Danio rerio: one gene and its partner. The protein of the gene in region 1 interacts with the protein of each later gene in a pairwise test. Links are inferred from orthologs where the notes say so. Each region holds a gene or a part of one and is shown on either strand. Other genes may lie near its edges.

Region 1 (3,830 bases):
TGCCCAGCTCTATTATTTAATGTTCATTTAGCTGTGTTTTATAGATGTTTCTTTCTCTCTCTCTCTTTTGGGGGAGTTGAGTTTGATTTCAGTTTATAGTGTTTTTGTTGTTGTTGTATTTGTGTTATTTATTGTGCTGGCACTGGCGGACTTTGCCAAAAGAATATAATTTTTTTTATTCAATTTTATGTTTTATAGATGTTGCTGTTTCTTCTTTATATACATATATATTTTCTTTTTTTTTGTTCTTCTTTTTTACATTTGATTTTAGTTTACTTTTTTGTTATTGTTATCTATTTATTGTGCAGTTTGTTTCCCTTAGTTTGAGTTGGTTTGTTTTTTGTTGTTGATGCTTTGTTGTTGTTTCTTCATTTAGTTTTTTGTTAGGTTTGGATATATTTCTTTATTTTGCTATGTTTCATTTGTTTTTTTGATTGTGTTTGGTTTTGTTTTTGTTAGTTTGGCTCTATTTTTGCTTTGTTTTTGTTTAAGGTTATTACAGTTAACGAAAATGAGCGAAAAAACAAAAACTAAAATTTAAAAACATTTTTGTTAACTGAAATAAAAATAAAAATGAGTTTAAAACAAAAAAAACTAGATCTAACTGAAACTGTATTGTGTATATACAAAACCAACTGAAGCTAACTAAGATTATAGCAAAATGTCTTTCGTTTTCATCTTTGTAAATACATTTAATACATAAGCCTTATGTAAGCCTTTTAGAAATAAATTTATTTGCTTCTCGCTGCTTGGTGTTGACCTGTGCGACACCCCAGATTCTGTAATCTTTATGTCATTGGCCAGACCTGCCTGTTCTCCTCCAGTCCTCCCGTGACAAAAACAACAAGTGGACATGACAGCAGCACAGTGAAAGCATTAAATATGACCATGGGAGAGACTTAAAAGTATTAATTTTAACACATTTGTGCCCAATAAAGGGTTTTATTTCTGCCTAATAACAAACAAATCATTCTTTCTAATCAGATCTTCTAAGTCAGGGGTGTCCAAACTCAGTCCTGAAGGGCCGGTGTCCTGCTAAGTTTAGTTCCAACCCCATTCAGACACACCTGGGCTAGCTAATCAAGCTCTTTCTAAGCTTTCTAGAAACAACCTTGCAGGTGTGTTGATGCAAATTGGAGCTAAAATCTGCAGGACACCTGCCATCCAGGACCGAGTTTGGACATCCCTGCTCTAAGAGAACCGGTGAAACTATTTCACTAAATTGAACTGAATCATTTAAAACAATTTGCCTTTCCAGTAAGCACTTATTTACTAACTGCTTACTTTTTAACATCCCGGATACCCCACTCTGACTCAAAATAAACCAGTTTCTCTGGATTATTCAGTTATTTGAACAGTACACAGAAATCAGATTTGAGAACCAGTGAATTGATAATACTGCACATGCATAATTCAGCAGGTGAACTGAACACAAACAGTAAACGACTGCCTGCTGTGACTGAAGTAAACTTGAACAACTGTAGCGCGGGTTTACCAAGGTCAATAAGAGAGTTTGGCAATAGTATCTGGATGCAAGCTGAGATTGCATATCTTAGAGATGCCATGTAAGACACAATGCACTCAATGGAGCTGTTAAGGTCACTGTGAGGGGTAGGGATAGGTGTGTGGGGTTAGGTGAGCACATTAAAATCCATTGGATGCAGCTCAGATTGCACTGCACCAGGTCTACATCCAGACCCCTCTCTGATCCAGCAAAACGTAAGTTTATTTCATAACAGACAATCGTAATGGAATCTAAATAAGTGAATCATGCTTTAGTTGGGTTGCAAAACTTAATTGTAAGAAACTTTTCAGAACATGATGATGTTTTAACTGACTTAAATTATGATTACTGACTATGTATTTTTGATATGTTGAGCCCTAACATGGGAGGATTGTCGCAAAAGATCTGATTCACGTTAAAGATTCGAACTTCCCAACACTACTGTGTGCATCTAACCTCAGAGGCAGCCTTGCACACATATTGTGCTTAGGGCTGCTATTTCATAGGCTGTTGAATTTGAATTTCAGCATGGGTAGATGGTAGTGTTCATGTGTCCTCTGTTTCAAAAATGTATCCTTTGTTGAGTTTTTATAATACAGTACTTATTTTGATGATTTTGAATCTTGCACCTAACAAATATCCTTTTTTAGAAAAAGCAACAACAAATAAAATGAATAGTGAAACTAATAAAAACTCAACTAAAACTAAGCAATTTCAAAACATAGAAACTAATAAAAACTAGTAAAAATACTTCTAAAAACTAATTAAAACTTGAAACTAAATAGTCAAAATTAAATAAAAACTAAAACTAATGAAAAATATAAAACTATTAGAACCTTGTTCTTGTTTTATTTTATTTTCTTTGTGTTGTGTTATGTTTCTTTGCTTGGTGTTTGTGGATTTTGTTTTTGTGTTTTTTTATGTATTAGTTAAGAGCGTGGGAACTCTCTTGTGGTTCTCTTGTGTGTCTCTTACTCTCTCTCTCTCACACACACTCTCTCTCTCTCTGACTTTGAACCGTACTTATTCCCATCATTATTATCTGGGTTTCTCCAAAGCGGCTCATTTGGAAGAAGACATGAAGATCCTTTGAGTTCTACTTCCTCGTCCACAACAACGACCACCACCACCTCCTCTGTTACCTCACCTACAGGACACCGCAGCCTGCTGTCCCGGTACAAACACACTTCTCTATAACACAACATTGACAGTAAACACTCAGAGTCTGGTGTGGTAATGAAATGTGTGGATGTGTAACAGGTATTGGGCAGAGGAGAGCGCAGAGAAGGAGAAAGAGAAGGAGAAAGAGTCGGCAACCGTTATCCCTACAATCAACACTGCAGGCACCACCACTACCACATCCACCACTGGAACTGTCCTGGGCTCTGACGGGCGAGAGAGACGCAGGTACACCACACATTATCACGGATGATTCTGATGCTTTCAGTTAAGGCTGATTTAGACTTTTGCATCAATCGCACATGTATGCTCTGCGGCAGATTTTGTGCAGTCGCATAGCCCTTGCCAAGGCTAACGCTTATGCTCACGTGAACCTCTCATAAAATGTAACTACACGTCACAGCAATGCATACCGCAAGCTCTATGATTGATCTGCTTGGTAGCGGTGACAATTGTGGGTGGTGCAGAGTGCTGCGAGCTTGGAGAAGTGAGTGTTTACAAGTGTCGAGTCCTGTGAAGGAGCTTCAGATGGAAACTTTTGTTTTGTGTTTACCTTATAATAAATGTTGTTGCTCGTCCGCTGGTTCCCACTCCAGCTAGCATTTCAGAGGTGTTATTGCAGAACAACACAGCCTGCCCGCAGAAGTATAAATGCAATCGATTAGTGCAGATGTTTAAACCAGCCTTTAGGGATGCTCTGATTAACTAGAAATCACTTTATTTGACCTAATATTTATTGTTTGTTTGTTTGTTTGTTTTTATATATATTTTTAGGTGTATGTTGTGTGTTTTGTCTTTGTTTGTTTGTTTGTTTTAATTTTAATTTGTTTTGGGGGGGTTTTTGACTAGCTTTTTGTGGTGCTTTATTTGGTAAATATTTTATATTTATTTTACATTTTTTTGGTTTGTTTGGTTGCTTTAACTTTAATTTATGTTTTGTTATTTTTAGTTAGTTTCTTTGGGATTTATTTTGTGTATTTAGTGGTGTTTTTTGCTATACATGTTATTTTTTATTTTTTATTTGTTTATTTGTCTGTCTGTTTGATTCCTTTTTGTTTTTGGTTGTTTATTAGTGCTTTGTTTTTTTTTATTTTAATTCATGCTTTATTATTTTTATTTAGTTTTTTGGTATAGTTTTTTTGTTTTG
Region 2 (4,600 bases), about 2.8 Mb from region 1:
ATATGTTGTAGTGCTGTATTTATATCATATAATTGTAGTGTATTGAGTGTAAGATGGGACTCGCATATCAGGAATGTGTGTATTTTGTGTTGCCCACTCTTTGTATAACCCTGAGATACTTTTTGGTTGGCCATCTGTTTGTTTTTAATGAGTCTCCTGATTTCGTTACTGCAGACTAGTTCAGTTAACAGAAAGAAAGAAGAAATGCCCGCATGTGTTTAGCATTTTCCTTATCACAAACACAACAGTAATCTGGTAGTGTTTGCGCTGCTTTGGCTTTCCCAGGGATAATTATTATGATCTCCCGATTGCAACCGAAATATTTGAAAATGTTTGTAGACTGATGGTGTTTATGCCATTCAACCTTATAATGTGAGCAAAATCGCCTGGTTTGTCATCACTTTAGACATTATGCGAGAGAATGATTCAAAAACCAGCTCTCAAGTAACATTGGTGAATTAGTAACGACTTCTGCTGTTTTGACGTCAGCTGCAGATGGGAATGAATGGTAGAAGAAAGTTGTTCCTCGTACAAAAGGGTTTTAGACTCTGTGTTTGTATATATATATATATATATGTATATATATATGTGTATATATATATGTATATATATATGTGTATGTATATATATATATATATATATATATATATATATATATATATATATATATATATATATATATATATATATATATATATATATATATATATATTTATACAACAGTTCTGTCTGGTTCTCAAATCTGATTGGCTGATAGCCGTGCGATATTCTGCAATATCAGAACTCCTACAGCCTCTTTACCCTTTGTGTAGTACTCCGCCCACATACACGCTCAACTGTTTAACTGTCAGCTTATGATTTAAATCCAGAAGAAAGTAGTTCCTCATACAAAAGGGTTTTTAAGACTCTCCATGTTTGATTTTGTTTTTATATACACAATTATGTTGTCAAACTGTTGTATAAACGCAATATCACACGAGTAGCAGTGCGATATTGCTCTATATCTGACTATATCCGGCTACTCGTGTGATATTAGTTATATATATTAGTTATATATAACTTACAATAGCTTACAATATGTAACAACAAATTAAAAACTGGTACAAAATGTGGTACCAGCACACATTATGTAGCAGGTTAATTTAGATAGTGTCAGCTCATGGTACCAAAATAGGGGTGAAATAAATGAATTAACAGCAAATAAAATTAAAACAAAATTTCTCTGTTCCCTCACTTTTCCATGATCCTTCTCTTTTATAGCTATTTATGTGTAATTTTGGTAATCACTTACTTATTCTAGCAAGATATCAATACAAGGATAGGATAGGATTGTTTGAACTATAAAAACTAAGAAAATATACAATTTTTAGCCTGGATACTTGATGTTGAAGATTTAAAGTAAGTGCTTTTACATGTTTGCTTCATCATTTGCTAAAAATAACATTTTTGTCACATTCCTCTGTCTAAAATTGTCTTTCACAAAATTCAATAACTTTTGTATTTGAAAAATTTTGCTTCGTTTTATATGTGCTAACTTTCATTAATTTCTAACACTTTTCGACATTAGATTTAAAGGTTTTTACAGAGAATTTTAAGCACACCATATTTCAGAGAGGATAATAAAATGTTGCATATATTTATATATGAACGTTTCCTTCTATAGACATTAAGAATAAAATGGGGAAAAAACAATTACCATTTAATACATTTGGATTGTTATGTTTATGTTGTTATCACATTTACATAATCGAAATAACACGAGCTTTTATTTTGAAAACCAGTGTAGCCGGTAGACGGAAGTTGGGGTCTGCATTTACTCGCGCGCGCGTGTTGATTATGGCAGGCTCCGGTGACAGCATGCAGAACATAAACAACACACTTAGTGAAATAACCTGTGAAAAACTTACAAACACGCATCTCGAAGCTTTACAAACCCTGACGAGCGCTTTCAGAGATGAGCAGTTCAGGTACCACACACTTCCCAGTTCACAAGATGAACAGAAACGTGTTATTTTGTGCTGAAGTCGATTCTTATGCATTATGATGATCATATGTATTACCATTTTTTTCTGTATCATATCTGAATCATCCCCTTAGCCACTTAAACAAACCAGCAGTGTGTTTTCAAATAATAAACATGCAATAATTGCTTGTGGAGAAAGCTGCTGTAAAACGTTCCTCTTATTGAAAACTGACTAAGCTTTGTCTGGTGTCATTATTGTCATGTTTCAGAGGCAGTGTTGACAGGGAGGTTTTTGGAAATCTCTCTGCGGTGCTGTCAAGGCTTTCTGTGGATGTCCAACGTTTGACAGATGAGACAGAATCACAGGAGGGAGAAGCATCATCTCTGTGCTTTAAACTCACAGCAGAGTGTTTCAGAGCGCACAGAAATGCCTGCGTGCAATGCACTCAAAACCAGTGCAGTCTGAGGTAATGTCTGAGACCTCTCATAGTTTGAAATGAAATTTCTTTAACAGGGACAATTCTCATTAATCAGTAGTAAAACTGTAAATAAGCCAGAGTTAGCCATAAGGGCTAATTTTCATCTGTTGAACCATGCCAGATTTTAAAAAGGCAACCTAAAACCAGCTTTATTACACGTACAATAACAGTAAATTACATGCATTAAAAAAGACAGAACAAGAATGCCATAAAAAGCTAAAGAAAAGAATTACACATGATTACGAACTTGATTTGCTTTTAGCCATTTCTTTAACTTGTATTTGAATGTTAAACAATTTGTAATACCCCTTAAATCAATAGGATGTTTATTCCAGAAATGACTGGCTCTAACTGAGAAGACTGACGTGCAAAAGTTGTAAGTCTAAACTGCACAGCTCAGTCTCCTCTAGTCATATATCATGTTGCTCTACCATTATTCCTCGTCTGTGTCACAAACTCACATAATGAAGGTGGAGCAAATCCATTTAAAATTTTACAAATCCTACAAGCAACAGCCAAATAATTCATATTATCAGAGCTCAATAAATACTGTTTTTGTATAATATTACAGTGATGATACCTTATAATACTCTTTTGATCAAATACTTTAGGGGCTCTATTTTGACGGTCCATGCGCAGAGCGCAAAACGCAGGGCGCAAACGCTTTCAGGGCGTGTCAGAACACAGTTTTGCTAAATTAAGGACAGGAAAATCCGCTTTGCGTCGTGGCGCATAGTCTAAAAGGGTTGAGTTTATATTCTTTATGAGTTATAGGTGTGTTTTGAGAATAAACCAATTAGAGTATCATCTCCCATTCCCTTTAAGAGCCAGCTGCGTCGCGCCATAAGCGCATTCGCTATTTACAGGACGTAAAGTAAGTCTAAGTGGAAAAAATTTGCATTTCACAAGCAAACAGTTAACAGTTTTTTTAACAGAAAACTGTTAAATAGAGCATCTACTCCGTAAGAATGAGAGATAATGGATGTATTTTCACTTTCGCTCGTGGATAGGGAAACCTTTGCGCATAGACATCAATTAGTCTATAAATAATTAATTGCGTTTGTTAAGCGCAAATAATAGTTTCAAAACTGTTTCTAAATTCAGTTCTAATTTCCAGCAAACGAATAAATGAACAATAATAACAAAGTGTGCTCGAAAACCTGAGTTATATCCTAAAACACATGCTGTGCCCCATATGGTCTAAAACCTGACAGGTGGGCTAATCTAAGCTTGTTTTTAATAAAACAAATATAAATATGGATATAATAAATAATACTGCTAATAATAATAACATTATACAAAAGCAAATTGTTATGAATGAACTGAAAAAGCCTCCTGAGATGAAGAAGGCATAAAAGCAGTGATTTTTCATATTTATGTAGGCTAGAAAATAGTATGTTTTGTAATATTTTAATCCTTTATAATTATATCCTATATCTATTCTTATTATATCATATATATATATATATATATATATATATATATATATATATATATATATATATATATATATCCTTAATATTAAATTTTTTTCATATGTAAAGATATTTGCCTATTGCTCTCTTGTGCGTATTAAGCAGTGCGTAAGCGAGGCGCAACTCTGCGCCGGAGTTTAGACCGGGTTTGTTTTGGTCTACTGAAAAATCTATTTTAGTTTCTCAAAATAGCGACGCGCCAGCGGTACACCTCAGAACGCCTTCCTTTTTAGACCAGAACGCCTATGGCCGCACATATGAGTGCTAATGCATTTGCTATTTAAACAGCGTAGCGCAACGCCTCAAAACGACTATTGCGCCGCGCCTTGTGCCACATTGTGCCGGGTGCATGATAGGGCAATAGGTGTCTGTTTATAAAGTGAATCAACTGATTTTAAAACAGTTTTACTTTACAGAAAAATTGTTGTATATATATATATAATGACAAATTATGTTAAATAATCTTGATTACAACATTGATGAATATGACTTCTGCCATAATCTCAAGCAGCCCTACTTTGTACATACACTTGAAGTCATAGTTTGAAATAAAATTTCTTTAACGGGGACAATTCACAACAACACATTGTCTTCACTGCAAGAACGTTTTTGTTTTGCAATAGAATTTTTTTTTTCAGATTTTTCATAATTTCTGGATGCCAAAATCAAAAATGAAACTGTTT

The links.
Region 2: the proteins of ppp1r12a (region 1) and atxn10 interact in binary tests that used the Homo sapiens proteins (3 or more experiments, as listed by UniProt). The link is inferred for Danio rerio from reciprocal best matches to the Homo sapiens genes PPP1R12A and ATXN10.

The regions. Positions count from the first base shown.
Region 1 is NC_133179.1:22,109,038-22,112,867, reverse strand, and holds part of ppp1r12a (protein phosphatase 1 regulatory subunit 12A), read left to right. Parts: intron 1-2,562; coding exon 2,563-2,679; intron 2,680-2,764; coding exon 2,765-2,911; intron 2,912-3,830. UniProt on the Homo sapiens protein: Key regulator of protein phosphatase 1C (PPP1C). Mediates binding to myosin. As part of the PPP1C complex, involved in dephosphorylation of PLK1. Capable of inhibiting HIF1AN-dependent suppression of HIF1A activity.
Region 2 is NC_133179.1:19,331,180-19,335,779, reverse strand, and holds the start of atxn10 (ataxin-10), read left to right. Parts: upstream 1-1,793; 5' UTR 1,794-1,836; coding exon 1,837-1,967; intron 1,968-2,232; coding exon 2,233-2,430; intron 2,431-4,600. UniProt on the Homo sapiens protein: May play a role in the regulation of cytokinesis. May play a role in signaling by stimulating protein glycosylation. Induces neuritogenesis by activating the Ras-MAP kinase pathway and is necessary for the survival of cerebellar neurons.